2 linked regions of the Danio rerio genome follow. The main gene of each other region encodes a partner of the protein of the gene in region 2 in a complex. Links are inferred from orthologs where the notes say so. Each region holds a gene or a part of one and is shown on either strand. Other genes may lie near its edges.

Region 1 (11,594 bases), on a different chromosome or scaffold from region 2:
ATAAATGGGGATCTGTCCCTCCAAGTAAAGTCGTGATGACATAATTATACATTAACATATTATAATTTCATGATAGTTAAATTAGGCATATACACTAATATGGTAATTAATACATTATTTAACAAGCAAGCTTGTACAAGCAATTAAGGTAGCCATTATTAGTTCATAATAAAGTGATGTTGAGTTTATGTATTAACACAGCATTATTCATCTACTGTTATTGTGAAGTGTTACCGTTTTCTTATTTGTCAGAAAGCAGTAGCAATTGACTTCAACAGTATTTTTGTTCCTTTAAAATTCTATGGCTGCTTTTCCCCAAGATTCTTCAGAATATCTTGATTATTTTGTTAAAAAGTAGAAATAAATAAATAAACATTTAGAACATTAAATAATCTTTAAATAATCTAGCTCCTGTTTATCTAACCAACCTTCTGTCTCACTACAATCAAACTCGCTCTTTAAGATCTCTAAACTCAGGTAGGACCTAGAATAGCAAAGTCGAGTAAAGGAGGTCGAGCCTTCTCATTTATGGCTCCTAAACTTTGGAATAGACTTCCTGATAACGTCCGAGGCTCAGACACACTCTCCCAATTCAAAACTAGATTAAAGACCTTTCTGTTTAGTAAAGCATACACTCAATGCATCACTTAACGGGGTTTCACACAGGTTTCTGCATCTTGTTTATATACACTATGAAGAGCAGCTATGCTAATTATTCTCTTTATTCTCTATTTCCACCTGGGGATACTCTTCCCGAGGACCTCAGACTATGCAGAGTCACTGATTAGATCCAAGACCAGCTGCGAGATGATCCCAAGGTTTCCATATCCTGGACCAGGCCATATCCTGAGCAGCTGCTGCGGTGATCATGAAGGAGTGGAGAGCATGAGACTGATTCCAGTGACGCTCCAAGGACAGACGAGTCTTCGCTGAGGCCAGCTTCCAGCCTCCGCCGCTGAGACTGCAGCTCTGGCACAAGACATTTGGCCAGTGGAGAAATTAATATGGTCGTGCCCCCAACTAAGTCTGGTTTTAACTTTTTTTTTTTTTTTTTTCTTCACTTTCGCCAATCAGTGAAGTTTTTTTTCTCTCCGCTGTCGCCTCTAGCTTGCATGGTTTGGGATCGGTAGAGCTCTGCATCGATTCAGTGTTTGGACTCTAAGTAGTGATTTTTAACCACACTGAACTGATCTAAACTGAACTGAACTTAAACACTAAAAAACTGAACTACACTGTTCCAATTTACTATGACCATTTATGTGAAGCCTTTTGACAAAATCTATATTGTAAAAGCGCTGTACAAATAAAGCTGAATTGAATTGAATGGAACATTGGAGTGTGAGTAAATAAGTTGTCATTTTGTTGGGAACGATCCCCTCAAAATAAAATCTTTTGTTTTAGGGGATCTATCCCTTTAAGAGATTTCAAGCTCCTAGTGGAATGTTAATTTCTTTTTCTTTACTTTTTCTTTATTTCTTTAAATATTTTAAATCAAAGCAGTTGGTAGACTGACAGTCATTTATTTAAAAATTCAACACAAAACTGAAATGACAGTTCCGGCTCTGTGTAAATTGGCTAATTATGTGTATGGTAAACAGTCTGTCCAGCATTTGCATTTACACTATCATACTTAGTATTCCAACAATAAACATTCATTGTATGCAAAGACAAACAAACACTGAAACTGCTTTAGTTCAATGATACACCAATACAGGAAGAAGCGCTGAAAGAAAAACAGTAAATTCCTAAATAAATAACAGTGGATGTGACATAAAGCACAATGAGATAATAGTGCACTCTTGTGGACGCTGCAAGTGGTCACACTTAAACTAAGAGCTCAATTAAACTGCTCGAGGTGTCAAGAACTCTTCAGTTTCATTTATTTTACCTAGAATACAGAACAATATATCAGTGACTCTACTCAGACCATATATTTTAGGATGAAGGTGTTGAATTTAATAATTCAGGAAATTCTGGCCTAAAGAATTATAATAATAATAAAAGTATTTGGCTTTTGTCTAGCTGACTGCAGTTCAGGTCAGCTACTGCAACTGCATCCACTTCCTCGGACATAAAAGGTGGTTTCATCCTTCTGTTATCTCACTATGCTGACAAGCACATAACACATACAAGAAAAAACTTAAAAGCCACAAATTAAAATCAAACACATTTATTTTACCATAAGGAGCAAGGGAATCTTCCAATACAAAGATATACTATGAATAAATACAAAACTGACATATAAAGATACAAAAAAAAAAAAAAACTTTTACAACTATAATAAAATGTGGAATTAAATCTTCAAGTTCCTGAAGATCATTTCCTTTCCACAAACCATTAACATTTATTTTGATGATTTTTATATGTACCAATCATGATGATTCATGGAAATTGTTTTGCATGATTCAATTATTATAGCTTATTTATATCAAATACATATTTGTATGCCACAATATGAAACCGTCATGAACCTATGCAATCTCCAAATATTGGTGTGAACACAACTCGTTCATTGATAATGTTAGGTGACCTTGTTTATTTCCGATACTGCTGAAGATCACTGTATATGTCTGACTGCACTCCATAAAGCTCCTGTCAAAACATTGTGAATAAATTGAGTACACATATAAGCACTTCAAGAAAACATTAAGACTTTTTAAGGCAAGGTAAATATAGGGTACAACAAAATTAACTAATAGTGTAATTACTTGATTATTTACTTAAACACATCTCACACAAATACATCTGCATCTGTCACTTTGAGTAACATTTACCTCATACTACTTTCCGCTATATTATTAAGACACTCTCACTTTATCATATAGGTTATTTATTTTTTTTATATTTATTTATTTTTAAATAAACGAATGAACAAATACCTCTGTAAAATTGTGTCACTTGATGTGTGTAATAATAAAATGCTTTTAAAATATGCATTGTAATTAAAATGTATGGATAAACACTAATAAAGTGCGACAAAAGAAACACTTTAAAATGTATTTTGGAAGTTTTCTTAACATTAAACTGAACAAAAATACATTTTAAGAAAAGTCAAAAATCTCCATACTCACTGGTCCATGACAAATAGTTTTGGTAAGCAATGTCTTGCCTTAGTTTGTGAACTTCAACAAAACTGATCTCACGTATATTGCATTGCATTAAATACACTGCAAACAATGTTGGGTTCCACACAATCGACATGACGGAATTAAGTTAACTTATGAGTTTTTACCAATTTAAGTAAATTAAGCATAAAACAATTAAGATTCCCCCTATAAAACTCATAAATTGTGTTGCTTTAGCTTATTTTAAATAAGTAGTTTGAACAAATAGCAAACATATTTTTTGTGTACATATTTTGCTCATTTTACCTGGTAAGGTGATTCTACTTCAATTGGTTTTGCCCTCATAGATGTCTGCTGAAGCTTTGCTTTGCCTTAAACATCAGAAAAACATATGATTAAGACTGAAACTCTGAAACTCATAGTGACTGTTTTTTTTAAATATTTTCCTACAATCAGGCTTACCTGAGCTACAGCATCTGCCGTGTGCATGTAAACTCCCTCTCTTTTTCTGGCGAGAAACAAAACAGTAGACGGAGAGAGCAATGAGGAGCGTGACAATAATATCACACGTGATGATCCCCACAGCCACTCCAATGTCCATCTGGTAACAGGAACTGCAGTCTGAAAAGCAGAAAATGCATTAGCATATAATATGCATTAAAAAAAACTACCAAACAAACAAAAAATAAATATTTATCAACTGAGTATCAAAGATGTATGGAAAAGTTGTTACCTTGATTTGCCTCTACAAAGCCTGCTGATCAAAGAGAAAATGAAAGAGAAAATGTTAAAACAGTTTGATTTTTGATGTTGATCTACAGAAATAAAATGCAATTTCTTTGATTACTTGCAGTAATAACAACTTATCTACGTAAAATCCACAAATAAAACATAGATTTGCAATTTTTTACCTTTGAAACTGCTGTTTTTTAGGATTAGTTTTATTTTATAATATTATTAATAGTGGTTGCACAGAATGTGACACGATAACTGCACTGATGATGTTAGGTTCAGGGCGATTGTTTAGGGATTGGTTAAGGGATTGTACCTATAGGTTTAGGGATTGTACCTATAGTCATGTGATGATTTTTAGCTTAGAACAATTTGAGTTTGAGTAAAGGTGAGGAAATGTTCAGTTTTTGGGAAGAACTATCCATTTAAAATTCAGATAAGTTTTTTTTTAAGATGTTTTTTTTACAAAACAGTATTAGTAAACATTTCAATATTCATTAACTGGTAACACTTTAGAATCTGTTATAATAGATTATTAAAAGCTGTTAGTTAATGAGTTATAAATGACTTGTTAAATAAAAGTTAATAGTTTGTTAATTATTTATAACTGTGCCTTATAGATAGAAACAGATAACTTACCAGCTGTTAGTTAACAAGTTATAAATGACTATAAATAACAAGTTAAAAATAACTATACCTAATAAATTAGTAATAGATCTCCCCTGCATCTGCGTGTGAAAATCAGCGCGTGCCCAAATGGGAACTCCCATTTTCAGTCAAATCCTTCCCATTTTACCTCCCCCGACACGCCCACCCAAACAGAGCTAGACACACCCACTTTCCAGACCTTTTCCAAACTAGACGTGTGAAAACACCCTGCTATTGGCTTATGTATGTTATTGGGACGTGATTCTAAAGTTGCAACTATTCCTCATTTACTAACAGTTAATAAATGAAGAATAGTTGCAACTTTACATGTAATAACATATATAAACATTTAACTGATACTTAGAAAGTCTTTACAAACAGCTTGTTCATGGTCTATTACTAATTTATTAGGTATAGTTATAAATCATTAAATTACACTTAACAAGTCATTTATAACTTGTTAACTAACAGCTTGTAAGTTATCTATTAACTATATATAAGGCACAGTTATAAAAAAAATAACAAACTATTAACTTTTATTTAACAAGTCATTTATAACTTATTAACTAACAATTTATTAATGGACTATTAACTAGTTATAACAACTAGTTATTCTAAAGTGTTAACATGAGAGTGTGGTCATATAAGAATAAGATTCTTTAGAATAAGAAAAATAATACATTAGATTGAAATGAGGTGTTGGAAAAATGTACACTCTGCAAAAATTTCACAACAAAATATAATATTTAAATATTAGACTAGAATATTTAGTTGTAAAATCTCGATCTGTCAATAGATAAACAGACAAACACACACATATATACATTATGTGCAGTTTTTTGCAATAATCTCTATATATAAACCTAATTTTGTGAAAGTGTGCAAAATATACTCAATATAGTTCAGTCATATTTTGTTTTTTCTACAAAATGGTAAAATGTTTTATGTGGTTAAATCCAGAAACGAAAGTTCATCTTCTGCCTTCAACATGAGTTACTGAACTAAATGTGAGTGGAAGACTCAACTTGTAATGTTTGTTTCAACACTTAGTCAAGAGAACTGAAAATTTCATTTCTGAAAATGTAGAAACTTGAGTTTAACATCCAAAACTTGTTTAACCTAACAAACAATCGTGTTCACAAAGGCACATGAAATGCAAGACAGTAACTTGATATGGCTGCCTTCAAAAATAAAGGCAAAGCTCATTTCAAAAAGAAGAAATAAGTTGACACTTAAAGGCATAGCTTACCTAAAAAAAAAAAAGAAAACAGTATTTTACCCTAGTGTTTCCAAACCTTTATGAGTTTTTTTTTCTCAGTTGAACTTGAACAGATTCTTTTAAAGAGTGTTAGAAACGGATAACTGTTGACATCCATAGCAGGAACAACATATACCATGAAAGTCAATAATCACCGGTTTCCAACATCTTTCAAAATATCTTATTTTGTATTCAACTGAAAAAAAGATACTCAAAAAGGATGTGTAAATGACAGAGATTTCGTGTTTGTGTAAACCATCGTATTAATTCTTTAAAATGTTTTTTTTATAACATTATTATTTGTTTGTATAAAAGCTTTATATAGATATAAAAAAGCAAATTTAAAATTAAAACCCTACAATTTTGCAGTCTATACTCAACAAAAAGTCTGGTTTTATGTTCTAAACAACTATTAAATCAACATCTAGTTTGTTTTTTGAGAGAAAATGATGCCAAAAGCCAGTTTTTAACTGTTTAAAAACCTAAACCCGTACAGTTTATAAAAATTCTCAAAATGGACTCACCAAACAGTCCGTTGACGGGGAACATTATAAACAGTATCCTTCTCATAATGAGTGCAGACAGGTTTAGGAAAGATTGCTCAGGGTTTACACAGCCCTGACTCGAATACAAGAAGCCTTTCTGGCCACGAGCTGAAACACCTTGAATATCACAACCAATGATATGGAAATTGTCTCTGTGTGAAAAATCACCAAGTGTGAGCTGATGACTTATCGCCATCCATCAAAATAGAAGCAAAGGTTTCTGAGGAGGAGCTACATGTGCTTGTATTTGCTATCACACACATACGGACGCACACACTTTAGTTTTTCCTTTAAATAGTTTGTATTTTATCCAGTCAGAGTTAGAATGTTTTTAGGCTTTAATTATAAGACATTCAAAGATAAAACTGAGGTTTTTTTTTAATGTCACAGTTGCATTTTCGAATGTCCTTCTTGATGTACTTTCACTTGGCAATGTGCGGGAAATGTATAAAGACTAAGTGGGACCTGGGTGTTAATGTGGTTAAAAGGCTCACAGCACAGGATGTGACTGCTAAAGCCAGTATCTGATAACCACACATAGGTAGAAAAAAGCAAAAACAATTGTCTGATTCTGCTAATAATACTTATTTGACTGAAAAGGATGTTGATCTTTTTACTGTGTGATTAAGTGATGCAGAAGTGACACGACTAAAGCAAAGTCCTGTTTACAAGACATATAAACAAAGGTTCGGGATATTATTGACTTTCTGAAGCTTGGTTTGTAAATTCTTGACCTTTGTCTTACTGCATGTGAACCTCCTAAAGATTGTTATCTGTAGTCAAACGCATCAGTCTCAGAAAGTCATGTTCTTTCGCTTATCCGGGCCCACTTGAGGTCACGAGTCTCAAAATCCAAAATAAAAAGAACTGATGATATGTCTTTAATGATCAGATTTTAAGAGTATGTCAGTGAACAGGTGATACAATGTTTTGACAATGTTTTGTTGTCTTTGCAGAAAGGCTAAATCCTCATTTTTAGGCATACTTAAGTAGGCAACACGGTGGCTAGCACTGTCACCCCACAGCAAGAAGGTTGCTGGCTCAAGCCCCTGCTGGGTCAGTCGGCATTTCTGTGAGGAGTTTGCATGTTCTCTTCGTTTTTGTGTGGGTTTCCCCAAAAGTCCAAAGACATGCAGCATAAATGAATTGAAGAAGCTACATTGGCCATAGTGTATGAGAGTGTGTGTGTGTGTGTGTGTGTGAATGTGAAAGTGTATGGTTGTTTCCCTGTACTGGGTTGCGGCTAAAAGGGCATCCGCTCCTTAAAACATATACTGGATTAGTTGGCGGTTCATTCTGCTGTGGCGACCTCTGATAAATAAAGGTACTAAGCGGAAGAAAATTGAATGAATGAAAGTTAATTAAGTCCAAAAATATTACCAATAAGTGAAGTTTCACAAACTAATTTCGAGAAGAGCACGTGATATGATTGTGCACTGCTGGCCACTCATCCGTAATCAGTAATAATCCAATCAGAATGATCCGAGCTTAATATAAATGGATCACTTTCTCCTTATTGCTCTATTTTCTTTTTGGAAGAATCCCCCCTTCCACTCCATCTCCTCCTTTTTCTCCCCTTCTAAAGGGGGAGCGATCGAGACCTACCTGATCTCGGTTCTCCTGATATGCTTCTAGACCGGGCGGGAGCCCTGGGCTCAAATATCTCCGTGACAGCATGCCAAACCTGTTATAAATGCCAAGCATATCTAAGTGGGAACTCTTAAAATAAGTATTTAAAAGAGTAATCGTTTTTGTGGGTATAACAGAATGGTCATAAATAAATTAGGGGGGAAATATACAAAAGAGTGAATTGTAAAGATTCTTTTCTTTAGACTTCCTCATTTTTCAGAGAAAGAGTCACAGTCTTGTGGTTGTTTTGGACGTGGGAATTTCTGGGAGATTCCAGAGAACAGTCATTAGATCCTTTTCATATTTATAACAGTACACATAAAAATAGCCTGCAAACATATACGATCATAAATTTTTATTTTTATTTTAAATCTTTGATTTGGATTAGCAATTCACAGAAGGGTTTCAGACTTTGCATATTCCTGCAGTTAAACTGTAAAAACGTTATGACAAAAAGTCAAGACAAATACTTCTTTTTATGTAGCTTGAACTTATTTTAATCAAGTTAGATAATTAAGTTAATCAGGTTACAACTTTAAAAATTTTATTTGTCAAAATATTTTTCATCAGCCGAATTAAGGTAAGAAGAGATGACTAGAAAACTTTATTTGATTCAAGTAAAAAATGAAACGCAGCAATGAAATGTTTACAGAAACAATCCAGTATTATGAGCAGTGTTGGAGAAAGTTTAGAAAGTATTGCATTGCAATATTGAGTTACTCTACAAAAAAGTTACTAGTTGCGTTACTTAGTTACTTTTTTATGGTGAATAATATGTTACTTTTGCATTACTTTTGATTACTTGGCTGAGGCATGATCTCTTACAGAACTTGTTTTTTTCACTCTTTCTTTTTTAATATGAGCTCTGCAATTAACAGCGCACTGTATAACCTACACCTACATTTACCTTTAAAAAAACACCAAAAAAAAAGTTTTTAGGATAATATTAACTGAGAACTTCCTGAGCCCAGAGCTCTACATGCCGTATATACAGATTATTCATTCATATTATTTTCGGCTAAGTCCCTTTATTAATCCAGGGTCACCACAGCGGAATGAACCACCAACTTACCCAGCACATGTTTTATGCAGCGGATGCTCTTCCAGCTGCAACCCATCTCTGGGAAACATCCATACACACTCATACACTACGGACAATTTAGCCTACCCAATTAACCTATACCACATGTCTTTGGACTGTGGGGGAAACCGGAGCACCCGGAGGAAACCTACGTAAACACAGGGAGAACATGCAAACTCCACACAGAAATATCAACTGACCCAGCCAAGGCTCGAACCAGCGACCTTCTTGCTGTGAGGCGACAACACTTCCTACTGCGCCATCATACAGATTATTGAAAGTGAAAAACAATGTGTTTGCTACTTTTGTACTATTTGTCTTAAGTAAAATTACTGCCCATTGAGGCAATCCCTTTTACCTTTTCTTCAATGCGATCAAAATAATGAACATTTTCTCATTGACTGCGTAATTCATTGTGACTACTTTCATATAATTCAGCAGTTTATTTTTAAAAAGCTAATTAAGTTAAAAAGTAACTCGCATTACATTTTCAAAAAAGTAACTCAAATATTATTACAAATTTTAATAAAGGGATGCATTACTTTATTCGTTCTTTAGAGAAGTAACGTTATTAAACTCTCAGAAATAAAGGTAAGCAAGCTTTCACTGGGGTGGTACCTTTTCAAAAGATACAAATTTGTACCTAAAAGGTCCATATTAATACCTCAAGGGTACATATTGGTACCTAAAAAGTACAACAGTGTCCTCATAAAATTTTTAGGTGCTAATAATATATACGTTAGAGGTACCAATAATGAAATACAAAAGTATTTGTACCTTTTAAAAATGGACCATCCCAGTGACAGCGTGCATACGTTTATTTCTGAGAGAGTACAGTTAAAATCAAATTTATAAAACCCCCTTTGAATTTCCTTTTCTTTTTTTAAATGTTTTCCAAATTACGTTTAACAGGGCAAGGAAATTTTCACAGTATGTCTGATAATTTTCTCTTCTGGAGAAAGTCTTATTTGTTTTATTTCGGCTAGAATAAAAGCAGTTTTCATTAAAAAAAAAAAACATTTTAAGGTCAAAATTATTAGCCCCTTTAAGCTATATTTTTTTCATAGTCTACAGATCAAACCATCGTTATACAATAACTTGCCAAATTATCCTAACCTGCCTAGTTACCCTAATTAACCTCGTTTAGCCTTTAAATGTCACTTAAAGCTGTATAGAAGTGTCTTGAAAAACATCTAGATATTATTTACTGTCATCATGGCAAAGATAAAATAAATCAGTTATTAGAAATTATTTATTAAATCTATTATGTTTAGAAATGTGTTGAAAAAAATCTCTCCGTTCAACAGAAATCAGAGAAAAAATAAACAGGCGGGCTAATAATTCAAGAGGGCTAATAATTCTGATTACAACTGCACGTAACTCGCTTTAGTTGTAATGTATCCCCCCAACACTGATTATGACAATGTTATGAGATGCATAGCAATCAACAAACAATCATCAATTTTTTTCAATCATCAATCCTTGCAGCGTTGGAGCTGGAAAATGTCAATTATAAAAAGCATCAATCAGAGCCTTTTTTTTTTAGCCAAAATGTCCATTCAGGAAAGCAGCCTAATATAGTCTGTAATATATCAAATGAGGATCTGCAGCGTTGAGCCTTTATGCAAACACTGACACCATGAATATACCAAATAAGGATGTTGAGTCAGGTTCAGCTTTGAAAAGTGTGAACCATAAGCATAAGAACACACAATGGTTCATTGTTAACCTGCAGGTAAATTACGAGTACTGTGTAAAGCAAACAAGATAATCCAGGATCCTCTTTTGTCCATGCAGGTCTAGAATGACAGGAATTTCAAATTAGTAAAGCCTGGAAAAATGCTGGAGTAGTTAAACAAAAATACAGTACTTCTTAAGGTCTATCACACAAAGCATGAAAACTACAAAGATAACGACAAAGTTCTGAAAATCACTCTGAGTGTAAAACCAGTTTTATAACCACAGTTATGATGACAAAGATGTGCATTACCTGACAAACGTCCTGTCATCAATCCCAGTTGTAAAGACGAACAAATAATATCTGCTAGTTGATCATTTGGAAAAGTGGCTGATGGGAGATTTTTCAGATGAATCATTTGTTGAGCTGCATCACAATCATCACAAATACTGCAGAAGACCTGTTGGAACTCACATGGGCCCAAGATTCTCATAGAAATCAGTCAAGTTTGGTGGAGGAAAAATCATGGCTTGGGATTACATTCAGCATGGGGGCGTGTGAGAGACCTGCAGAGTGCAACATCAACAGCCTGAGCTATCAAGACATTTGTGTTGCCCATTAAACTACAAACCACAGAACAAGACAAATTCTTCAGCAGGATAGTGCTCCCTCTCATACTTCAGCCTCCACATCAATGTTCCTGAAAGCAAAGAAGGTCAAGGCGCTTCAGAATTGGCCAGCCCAGCCACCAGACATGAACATTATTGAGCATGTTTGGGGGTAAGATGAAGGAGACAAAGATGAATCCAAAGAATCTTGATCAATGCAGAGATGTATGGATGCAGTCCTCCAAGTCATACACAATATTAATTCTTTTTCCACTGCAGCATGACTTTATATTTTATACTGTAGGTTATTTCTGTTAAGTGACAAGACTTTAGTCTAAGCAAAGTCAATC
Region 2 (11,562 bases):
AATGCATTATTCATCTTCAAAGTTGTGCTACTTTATTTACTTTACATTCATAAATAACTATCATTAATAAAGATGAATAAACACTGTAATAATTGTATTGTTATTTATTATTTTAATATATGTAATATATTATTGTTGTTTTATCTCGTCTCTAAACTAACATTAACTAATGCAACTTAAGTGTTACCATTTACACTGACAAAAATTATTCATTGGATTTACTTTATTTATTTGTAAGGTAGTTGGTTGCAAACAATTTATATGAGTTGAATTTAAATAAAGTTATGAAATTTAGTAATGTTCAACTTAATATGTTTGTTTAAATTCAGCCCAAATTAATTGTTTGCAACCACCTACCTTAAAAAATGTAATTCAGTGTTGTCTAATAACTAAAGACTGATTACAGTTTGATCAAATGTCCTGACAGAAATAAATGACTGAAATGCAGCTGCTTTACATTCTGCTTCCTTGTCTCCAATAATGAGCGCTTATAATGTGACTTGAGCGACCAGACAACATCCTCTGGCCCTTTTTTGCTGGCCAAAAAGCCACCTCAAACTCAGACGCTAATGCTAGACCTCAGGGCTTCGAGCGTCTGCATGAAAGAGAAGAGAGTTTGAGCAAACGCGATGAATTCAACCGCAGAAAGATTCCATGAAGAAGAAAGCAGATTGGCTGAGAAAGAGCAGGTCAGTGTTATTGTAACACGACTGATGTTTGTTATGGAAACTGTGGTCACAGACTTGTGAGCAAAGCAGCAGAAATCGCTAAAAGCAACAAAGCAGCAGAACGCCTAATTAAAATGAATGAGCGCAACTGGTCAGATGTGTAGGTTTACTGTATATTACAGTACGTGATTTGGGGATTTTCTGCTGAGATATTGTAAGATGTGCTTCACTGAGGCAAAATAATACCATTTTATTGAGTGCTATTATTTAGATTTAGTTATCAAATGAAAATATGCTAGTCAATATGGACACATAAGAACTTTTATAGACAATATTGAACATTTCTTCTAAAATTTAACCTTTGATTCTTAATTTTAAGTGTTTGAATAGGTTATTTTCATTGCATTTTAAATGAAATAACAGCATATAAACATAGGAAACTAATGCTAATTTCATAATATATATATATATTTATCATTTAGAGGTTTTTGCATCTGTTCTCTTCATACATTTATTTATTGTTTTTTAAATGTGTCATATAAATAAAACTGAAACGAATATTCATAATATAATATATAAAAACGAAATAATAAAAAAAAACATTTTTTTTTCTGTCTAACACAAAAGAAGATTTACATTTAGAAAAATGTTGAAAACCGGAAACCATTGACTTCCATAGTGTGAAAAATAAATACTATAGAAGTCAATGGTTACCAGATTGCAACATTCTTCAAAATATCTTCTTTCGTTTTTGACAAAAAAAAAACCCATAAAACTACAGTAATTGAAAACACTTAATGGTGTAAACATTAAGTAAATAAAATTTTTCTGTGAACTTTCTCTTCAGTTTTAGTTAATGTACTAACGTGAACAATACATTTAAAGGTTTTTGCATCTGTTATTATATATTTATTTATTTATTGTTTTTTGTGTGTGTTTTAAATCATGTCATATAAATAAAACTGAAATTGAAATGAATATTGAAATAATTTCATTTAAAAAAAACGAAATAATGTTGAAATGGTTAAGACAAACGTTGTCCATAGACAAAATTTCATTCATACACCGTAAACAATACTGATTGCCTTCATTTTTTTTCATTTGTCATTTGAACTTAAATTATATTAAACAGACTTAGAAAATCAAGTTAGAACACGATTAACGTAGTTTAATAAGTTACAATTAACTAAAAACATGTTGTCATGACTTATTGAGTATATACATATTTTCACAGTGTAGTTTTAATTCAAATGATTACATCATAATTTAAAACAAATTGATTTAGAAGAATTTTCGCTATGAGGCACTTTAACATTAATTAATTAGCATTGACCAACACAGAGCGACACAATATTTGGAAATCTTTAATCATTGTTTTCTTGTTAGTTCATGTTAGCCAAGTTCAGTTTAATAACAAACGGTAACACTTTATAATATCTACACACTATAAATCATTTATTAAGCATTAGCAAATAGTGAATTCATTATTCATTAAGCATTAACTCTACATTAATAAACGTTAGTAAGCAGTTTATAACTGCAGCTACAAATGCTCTATTCTTGACTTATAACCACATTTAAAATGTGCTTAATAATTGTATTTTCATACTTAGTAAATGATTAATTTTTCATTAATAAATTAAGTATCGCATTATTTACAAACCAGTTGTATTTAAGAGTAGTTGAGGGTTTTTAGGATCATTCAGAATGAGTTAGTAAATGATTAATAAACTATTGAAATCAACATTTATGTCTTATTATTCAGGCATATACTAATAGTCAACTAATAGGTTAATAAATGCTTTATTAACTCACCTTCATGCAGTTTTGTGACCTAATCTAAAGTGAGGACTGTTTATGCTTTATAAATGCCTTATAACTGACAAATAAAGGCTCAAAATCAAATGAACGATAATCTGTGCAAACTTTTCTAAAATGTAAAATTACTGTAAAGTTTAAACATTGCTGAATAACAGGAGTGTCAAAATACAACAAAACTGGATAAAACAACAATATAAAAATTAAACAATGTAATAAAATGTAATGTTTAAACTCAACAGTGATTTTATTTTAGATCAGGTTGCAAAGATTTATTTTTTATTTGAAGTACAGTTTCATTTGTGTATCTTTAATTGAATAGGAATGAATAATGTCGTTTTTCCTGTTTAGAATTTAACTGAGCCTTTGTTTGTCATTTATAAGGGATATATAAAGCATGAATAGTCCTCACTTTAGATTATGTCACAAAACTAGGTGAAGTTGAGTTAATAAAGCATTTATTAATATACATAGTAACCATTAATATATGCCTGAATAATAAGACACATAAACATTAAAATTAATAGTTTATTAATCATTTACTAACTCATTCTGAATGATCCTAAAAACTCTTAACTACTCTTAAATACAACTGGTTTGTAAATAATGCGATACTTAATTTAGTAATGAAAAATTAATCATTTACTAAGTATGAAAATACAATTATTAAGCACATTTTATATGGTTATAAGTCAAGAATAGAGCATTTGTAGCTGCAGTTATAAACTGCTTACTAACGTTTATTAATGTAGAGTTAATGCTTAACGGATAATGAATTCACTATTTGCTAATAAATGATTTATAGTGTGTAGTTATTATAAAGTGTGACCAATGTGTTTAGTATAAATTATATAATTTAGTTATTTTAAATTATACTTTAAATTAAATTGATAACAATAGGAGTACATTTTCGGTAAGTTTCAAATAAAAACTTTTAAATTCTTACAAAACGTAAAGATTAAACTACACAGTCAAAAATTCTGACTCAGATATTTAATCATTTATAAATTGCTTGTGAATTATTCAAATGACATGTGACTTTAAAACTAATATGGCTTTCTTCTTTAAAAGAGTTGCGAAACAGCGACAACAGAGAAACATCTGAAATATTTCTACAGCTTTCTTTTTCCACTACCCTCAAAGCTACAGAAGTAATGACAGATCGATGCCACAACAAAGTGCTCTTATTATACTGATCATTTAAAACACGTCGCAACTTTTATCTATTATTTGCTTACTGCCACATCAAAATGGTAAGTATTCTAATAATAATAATAACCACAATTGACGTGAGGATCATTTCAAATGGAATAATCAAACCATGCTCATGAAATATTTCAAGAGCCAATCATGTGAAATGCAATAATATAATAATTTTCTTCAGCTTTTTCAGTCATTTAGGGCTTAAAAATTGTTCAGTTAAGGTCATACTCCAGCACAACATTATACACACATTACACATTCATAAAGCACACATTTCATAGAAAATCAGGCAGATTCATGTGTTTAAATGTCTTAGTTTTGGCCAATGACATTATTTTTTTTTAAATATTTTTCATTTAGTTTCATAATTTGCTATAGAAATTAGTTCAGCTTAGTTTAGCACATAATACACATTTTACATTAATAAAACTACATTTTTATATACAATCAGACAGATTCTTCCTGTATAAAGTGTTTAAATGTCCTCAGTTTTGGCCAATAACATTATTTTAAAAATCTTTTTCAGTCATTCAAGTTCATAATTTGCTTTAGAAAATTAGTTCAGCTTAACATCATACTTTAGCACAACATTATACATTCATAAAACACTTTTTGTAGAGAATCAGACAGATTCTTACAGTATAAAGTGTTTAAATGTCCTAAGTTTCGACCACTAACATTATTATTATTTATATTATTATTATTTTCTTTGTTTACTTTTTAAGTCATTTAGGCTTCATAATTTGCTTTAGAAATTTGTTCAGTTTAACCTCATACTGCAGCACAACATTATACACACATTTCACATTCATAAAAGACATATTTCATAGAAAATCAGACAGATTCTCACTGTATTTTGTGTTTAAATATCCTCAATTTTGACCAACAACATTATTATTTTTATTATTTTGACATTTAAATTAATAATTTGCTTTACAAATTAGTTCAGCTTAACATCATACTTTAGCACAACATTATACACACATTATATATTCATAAAACATCCTTTTTGAAGGGAATAAGACTGTATAAAACTGTATACTGTATAAAGTGTTTAGGTGTCCTCAGTTTCAGCCAAAAACTTTATTATCATATTATTATTATTATTTATATTAGCATTTTGAGTCATTTAGGCCTCATAATTTGCTTTAGAAATTAGTTCAGTTTAACCTCATACTGCAGCACAACATTATACACACATTACACATTCATAAAACACATATTTCATAGAAAATCAGACAGATTCTCACTGTATTTTGTGTTTAAATATCCTCAATTTTGGCCAACAACATAATTTCTTATATATTTTGTGATCATTTAGTTTAGCTTAACATCATATTTTAGCACAACAATATACATTCATAAAACATTCTTTTTTGTAAAGAATCAGATTCTTACTGTAAAGTGTTTAAGTGTCCTCAGTTTCAGCCATTAACATTATTAATATTATTATTATTATTATTATTATTATTATTATTATTATTATTATTAGCTTTTTGAGTCATACAGGCCTCATAATTTGCTTTAGAAATTTGTTCAGTTATAGCCATACTCCAGAACAAGATTTTACACACACACATTACACATTCATAAAACACACATTTCTTAAAGAACCAGACACATTCATTCCACATGAAGTGTTTAAGTGTCCTCAGTTTCAGCCAATATCATTATTTTTTTTTTTTAGCTTTTTCAGTCATTCAGGTTCCTAATTTGCTTTAGAAATTAGTTCAGTTTAACATCATACACCAGCAGAACATTACACATTTATAAAACAAATCATTCATATAGGATCAGACACATTATGACTATATGAAGTGTCCACAGTTTCAGCCAATAAGATTGATATTATTATTATTATTATGAGCTTTTTCAGTCATTTAGGCCTCATAATTTGCTTTAGAAATATATTCAATTTAACATCATACTCCAGCACAACATTCATAAAACAAATCATTCATAGAGAACCAGACCCATTCTTACCGTATTAACTGTTTAAGTGCCCTCAGTTTGGCCAGTGGCTGTATACCATGTTCAACTGTCTGTAACTGAACAGGATGTGGAGCCTCTTTAAACTCAGTGGATAGTTCAAAAGAAGCTGCCAGTTCAGGAGTTCTCGCTCGCAGACTGAACGCTGAAACTGTAAGCACACACTGATGCCAGAAGCGCAAGATTTTTCGCCTTTTCTCTTGCCTTTTTTGTACTGACACAAACCTTTTCTTTAGTACTTCAGTAAGAGCGGCTATTTGCAGACTTCCTCATTTTAAGAAACTTGCCTACTTCCTTCACCATTTTTTTGTCCTATCTTTAACTTCCTCTTCTATCTCAGAACATAAATATATAATATGCAATACATGAATAGTCATGCAGTCAGTGAGGCCTAATGTACTGTACATTTTCTTATATTATTAATTAAATTAATCAATCATCATAGTATGTACACTCTTTAAAAAGTGATTACTTGCAATGACTATCAATTAGTAGTTGACTTTACTTTAAGAAAAGTGGGTAGGTCACACTTTACAATAAGGTTCATTAGTTAATGTTAATTAATGCATTTACTAACATGAACAAACAATGAACAATACATTTACTACTGTATTTGTTATTATTAGTTAGCGTTAATTAATGAAAATACAGTAGTTCATTGTTAGTTCATGTTAACTCATGGTGCATTAACTAATGTTAACAAGCAGGGAGTTGGATGTTAATAATGCATTAGTAAATGTTCAGTTATGATTAATAAATGCTGTACATGTGTTGTTCATGATTAGTTCATGTTAGTAAGTGCATTAACTAATGAACCTTATTATAAATTGTTACCAGTGAGTACAATTGATTTGTCTTAGAATTATTAAGTAAATTTACGGCGTGCATGAGTGAAAAAGTAAGGTCAACTTGAGAGTTCCACGTTACAAAAGGATTTACTCACATATTTAGGTAAAATCAATGAATTGCTTTTAACAGAAAGTGCTGGGTTGCTTTAACTAAATTATAGGTGGAATATGGACAAACAATTTAACCCAACAGTTGAGTTTGTCAACATTAAAAAAAAATGAGCTGCTTGTTGATTTATGTTCAATCCACTTAAAAAAAAAAAATATTATCGCTTTTGTGTTGGGAGAACATGAATGATTTGTGTTGAGTTTTACTGTGATATTTCACCCAAAACTTGTTTGTTTGTTTTTTTAGATTGTTTGATTAAAATAATACTGAATACTTGAAAATGATTTTGCTTGTTCAAACTACTAAATGAGCTGTATCAACACAATTCTAGACTTTTTGTAACAACTTAAGTGTTTCATGTTCAATCCACTTGAATTTGTAAAAATAATTACGTTAACTAAATCGATTTGTGTTAGGATGACATGAAGGAATTGTGGAATTGTGTAGTGAATATTTAACTTTTTGCTCATTCCTTCACATCACTTTTGTGCCAAGATGTACATTTGGCACATATTTTAAAAAAGTTTATTCAATATGTACGATTTTTCTGAAATCAAATCTCTCCTTAAAGCATAGTTGAAGTCAGAATTGTTATCCCCCCTTTGAATTTTTTTTCTTTAAAATATTTCCCAAATTTTTATAGTTTAAATGTTTCCCAAATGATGTTTAAAAGAGCAAGGACATTTTCACAGTATGTCTGATAATATTGTTTCTTCTTGAGAAAGTCCTATTTTTTTATTTAGGCTAGAATGAAAGCAGTTTTTAATTTTTAAAAAACATTTTAAGGTCAAAATTATTAGCCCCTTTAAGCTATTTTTTTTTCCGATAGTCTACAGAACAAACCATCATTATGCAATAACTTGTTTAATTACCCTAACCTTAACCTTATTAACCTAGCTAAGCATTTAAAATGTCACTTTAAGCTTTATAAAAGTGTCTTGAAAAATATCTAGTTAAATATTATTTACTGTCATCATGGCAAAGATAAAATAAATCAGTTATTAGAATTGAGTTAAGTGTAGAAATGTGTTGAAAAAAAACTTCTGTCCATTAAACAGAAATTGGGGGAAAAATAAACAGGGGGGGCGAATAATTCGGACCTCAACTGAACATCATTTTTATTGATTTTATTTATTTATTATTTATATTTTGATCTTTATTATTATTGTTATTATTCTACTATTTTTATTGATTTTCTTTATTATTATTGTTATTGTAAATATTGTATGTCTTCAGCACCAGAAAGGCGCTTTATAAAATAAACATTACTGTTAACATTATATACAATAAACATTATTATTAGTATTACTATTGTTCACCCAGGGATGGGTAGGCATCCGCTCCATAAAACCTATCCTGGATAAGTTGGCGGTTCATTCTGCTGTGGCGACCCCAGATTAATAAAGGGACTAAGCCAAAAAGAAAATGAATTATTTATTGTTGTGATTGCCAGCAGTGTTTTCTCTGCTGGAGTTCACTTCCTACATTCCTGCCGAACTACAAATCCCAAAAGTCATTGCATCAATCACTCCTGCCCAGTGGTGAAAAGAGTACTGAAAGATCATACTTAAGTGCAAGTACTATTACTAAATCAAAATATCAATGTTGAATTGATCCAATATCATGCAGCCCCATACTGTCAAAGCATTCAAAAATAGTAAACACTTAAAGATACTCCATGAACCAAACTGTATGTTCACTAGTGGAAAGTGTGTGATCAGGAAAAACAGATGTGTGATGCGGTTCATTGAGCTGTGATGGACACAGTTTACTGTACTTCTGTAATGAGTCTTCAGTGCATCTGTCTGCGTGATGGAGTAGTATATCTTCTGTTTACACTGAGGCATGTTTCATAAACAGAGAGAACCGCGGCACACCTGCAAGAGCAATCATCAGAGGATTTCACAACCCAGTGACATTTCCACTCTGAATGGTGGATTGCAGGTTAAAGAGACGGTTCACTCAAGAATGAACATGTGCTCACTATTTTCTCACCCTCAAGGGGTTGCAAATCTGAGCTTCTTTCTTCTGTTGAACACAATAGAAGATATTTTGAAGAATGGTGGAAACCGGTAACCATTGGCTGTTAGTGAATACCGTTACTGAAGTGAGTCTCCAACATTCTTCAAAATATCTTCTTTTGTGTTCAACAGAAAAAAGAAACTCAGTCAGGTTTGGAACAAGTAGAGTTGACAGAATTTTCATTTTGGGGTAAACTATTATGGGTATTATAGGATTAAGTGATGGGTAAGTTACTTTAAAAAATATCTTTACTGATAAAATATATTTAATATATATTTATAATATATATTTAATTATATATTTAATATATATTTAAAAATATATTTAATGATAATTAAAATTGTATTTAAATGAATTTTCTAATTACTTTTTGACTGAAAAGTAACTTGATTACTCAATAAGTAATTTCAGCATGACATTTTAGTGTTTAACAGTGAAAGAGAGTCATTTGTAGACCAAGTATGTTACATATTTAATATCTGACAACATTGAGAATTCGGTCTGCCTCAACTGTTCAGCATATCAGCACTCATGGGCTTCAAAATGACTGGCCAATCAAATCAAAGAGGGTGGAGTCTCAGTTTATCTAGCAATGCTCAGTTTTTAACAGTGAAATAGTGTCAGGTATAAGATGTAAGCAGTATTGCAATGTTTATTATTTCACAACAAAGGAAATTTAGTTTGCCTCAATTGTATTACAGCATTTATGACAAACCAAATAAATAAATGAAAGAATGAACAACTGAATGAATTAATAAAAAAATATGAAAATTTAATGACAGCAAACATGAATTTCAGATAGCAAATATGATTTTTATGCAGTGCTTCAGTTTTTGTCACAAGTTAAGCAGGCCACACATAGCCGGAAACTTGGTAATAACTAATTATAGACATTGTAATTATTATTGTTATGTAACATATAATAAATGTATAAAAGGAAAAGGTTTAATGCAAAATACTGGACTTTTTTCCTCTTTATTGAAATATTTTATGAAATATTAACAAAATGTTTGTATTTTTAACATTGTATTTGGAGATTATTCTATATTTTAAATTTATTATTATTTTTTTTTTAAATAAAAGTAGGTATAATTTTGGGTCAGTTTTCTTTTCTTTTTTTAAAGTAAATTATTTTGTTTACCACAGCGGCATTTATTAAATGTAATTTTTTTTTTATATTTATTAAAATTTTAATTAACTGCTTTCTTATTTTATGTAGTTTCAAATTAAAATTATTACCACAGTCATTATTGCTTTTATTATTCTCACCATTATTAAAGTTTTTTTCTGAAGGATCATGTGACTGAAGACTGGAGTAGTGAAGCTGAAAATTAATTTTTAAAATCACTGGAATAAATGTTTAAATTAAATTATAAACTACGTTTGAACAGTTAATTTATAGTGCAATATAATTGCAGATAAATGCAACCTTGAGCAGGATAATCTTATTTTAAAACATTTAAAATCCTATTGACCCCAACCTAAATATAGTTGAAGTCAGAATTATTAGCCCACATTTTAATTTACTTTTTTTTTTTAACAGAGCAAGGAAAGTTTCACAGTATGTCTGATAATATTTTTTCTACTGGAGAAAGTTTTATTTGTTTTATTTCGTCTAGAATAAAAGCAGTTTTAAGGTCAATATTATTAGCTCCTTCAAGCTATAATGTTTTCGATAGTCTACAGAACAAACCATCATTATACAATAACTTGCCTAATTACCCTAACCTGCCTAGTTACCCTAATTAATTTTTTTTATATTTATTATAATATTTTAATATTTTAATACACCCCCCACTCTCCTCTAACTTAAACTCCTCACAATCACTGCACTGTTTAACATTTGCACATTTAAAATTTGCACATTGCACAATGCACATTGCACCACATTGCACTGATTTACTTATTTGAACTGTACATACCCACTGCACATGGACATTTGTAATTATATACACACCCACTGCACATATACATTTGTAATCATGTTTATTTATCTGCACACTTCTGATTATTAATAGCAACCTGTACATTCTGCACATAGCAATACATACATATTCATTGTAAATCTCTGTTCATAGTACAACCTGTATATAATATTGATAGTACATCCATCTGTAAATATCACCATCGTTTTTCATGCACTTTATAACTTACCTGTATCCTGCACTTTCTGCTATTGCACTGCTGGTTAGACCTAACCTGCATTTCGTTGCTTTGTACTTGTACATGTGTAATGACAATAAAGTTGAATCTAATCTAATCTAATTAACCTAGTTAACGCCTTTAAAATGTCACTTTAAGCTGTATAGAAGTGTCTTGAAAAATATCTAGTAAAATATTATGTACTGTCATCATGGCAAAAATAAAATAAATCAGCTATTAGAAATGAGTTAATAAAACTATTATGATTAGAAATGTGTTAAACAAAATCTCCCCGTTAAACAGAAATTGGGGTAAAAATAAACAGGGGAGCTAATAATACTACAACTGTATATTGCTGTCAGTTTTGAAGTATAAAATATTTTTTATGTTCACAGCAGGGGGCAGCACAATACCTCAGATTATCTGAAACACGTTCATAGCAACCACATCTATTATAGCAATAGATGTTGTGGTTAGAAGCCGTTTATTTTCCGAAACTGATCAAAGCTGATCTCATCAAGCCCACATGTACAGAACAGAAATCTCTGAATTGTGTCTGTAAATCGTTTACTGTAATACACAAATGAAAATGTGTGACATTGTACAGCAGCTTTTGTTTTTCATTTAAAAGCATTGTATTAAATAATTTCCATAGTGTTTTAAAGAAAAAAAAAAATACTTTTATAAAGGGTTTATACACAAATGTGTGGCAAAGTCTGTCAATAGAACCAGCTTATATGGATAAAAATTATCCATTTTATTT

The links.
Region 1: the proteins of syk (region 2) and tyrobp are in contact, whole or in part, in a crystal structure (PDB 7Q5W), measured with the Homo sapiens proteins. The link is inferred for Danio rerio from reciprocal best matches to the Homo sapiens genes SYK and TYROBP. Residues at the interface, in NP_001167638.1 of Homo sapiens: Arg22, Arg42, Asn46, His62, His63, Tyr64, Thr65, Ile76, Ala77, Gly78, Gly79, His92, Asp97, Gly98, Leu99, Arg175, Arg195, Arg197, Lys212, Leu214, His215, Tyr216, Arg217, Ile228, Pro229, Glu230, Gly231, Lys232, His243, Lys247; in NP_003323.1 of Homo sapiens: Pro90, Tyr91, Gln92, Glu93, Leu94, Gln95, Arg98, Ser99, Asp100, Val101, Tyr102, Ser103, Asp104, Leu105, Asn106.

Annotation. Positions count from the first base shown.
Region 1 is NC_133191.1:26,486,623-26,498,216, reverse strand, and holds tyrobp (TYRO protein tyrosine kinase-binding protein precursor), read right to left. Parts: upstream 6,341-11,594; 5' UTR 6,274-6,340; coding exon 6,228-6,273; intron 3,823-6,227; coding exon of another isoform or gene 3,820-3,822; coding exon 3,799-3,819; intron 3,687-3,798; coding exon 3,528-3,686; intron 3,437-3,527; coding exon 3,372-3,436; intron 2,593-3,371; coding exon 2,536-2,592; 3' UTR 2,155-2,535; downstream 1-2,154. UniProt on the Homo sapiens protein: Adapter protein which non-covalently associates with activating receptors found on the surface of a variety of immune cells to mediate signaling and cell activation following ligand binding by the receptors.
Region 2 is NC_133185.1:6,050,519-6,062,080, forward strand, and holds the start of syk (tyrosine-protein kinase SYK), read right to left. Parts: upstream 5,908-11,562; 5' UTR 5,673-5,907; intron 1-5,672. UniProt on the Homo sapiens protein: Non-receptor tyrosine kinase which mediates signal transduction downstream of a variety of transmembrane receptors including classical immunoreceptors like the B-cell receptor (BCR).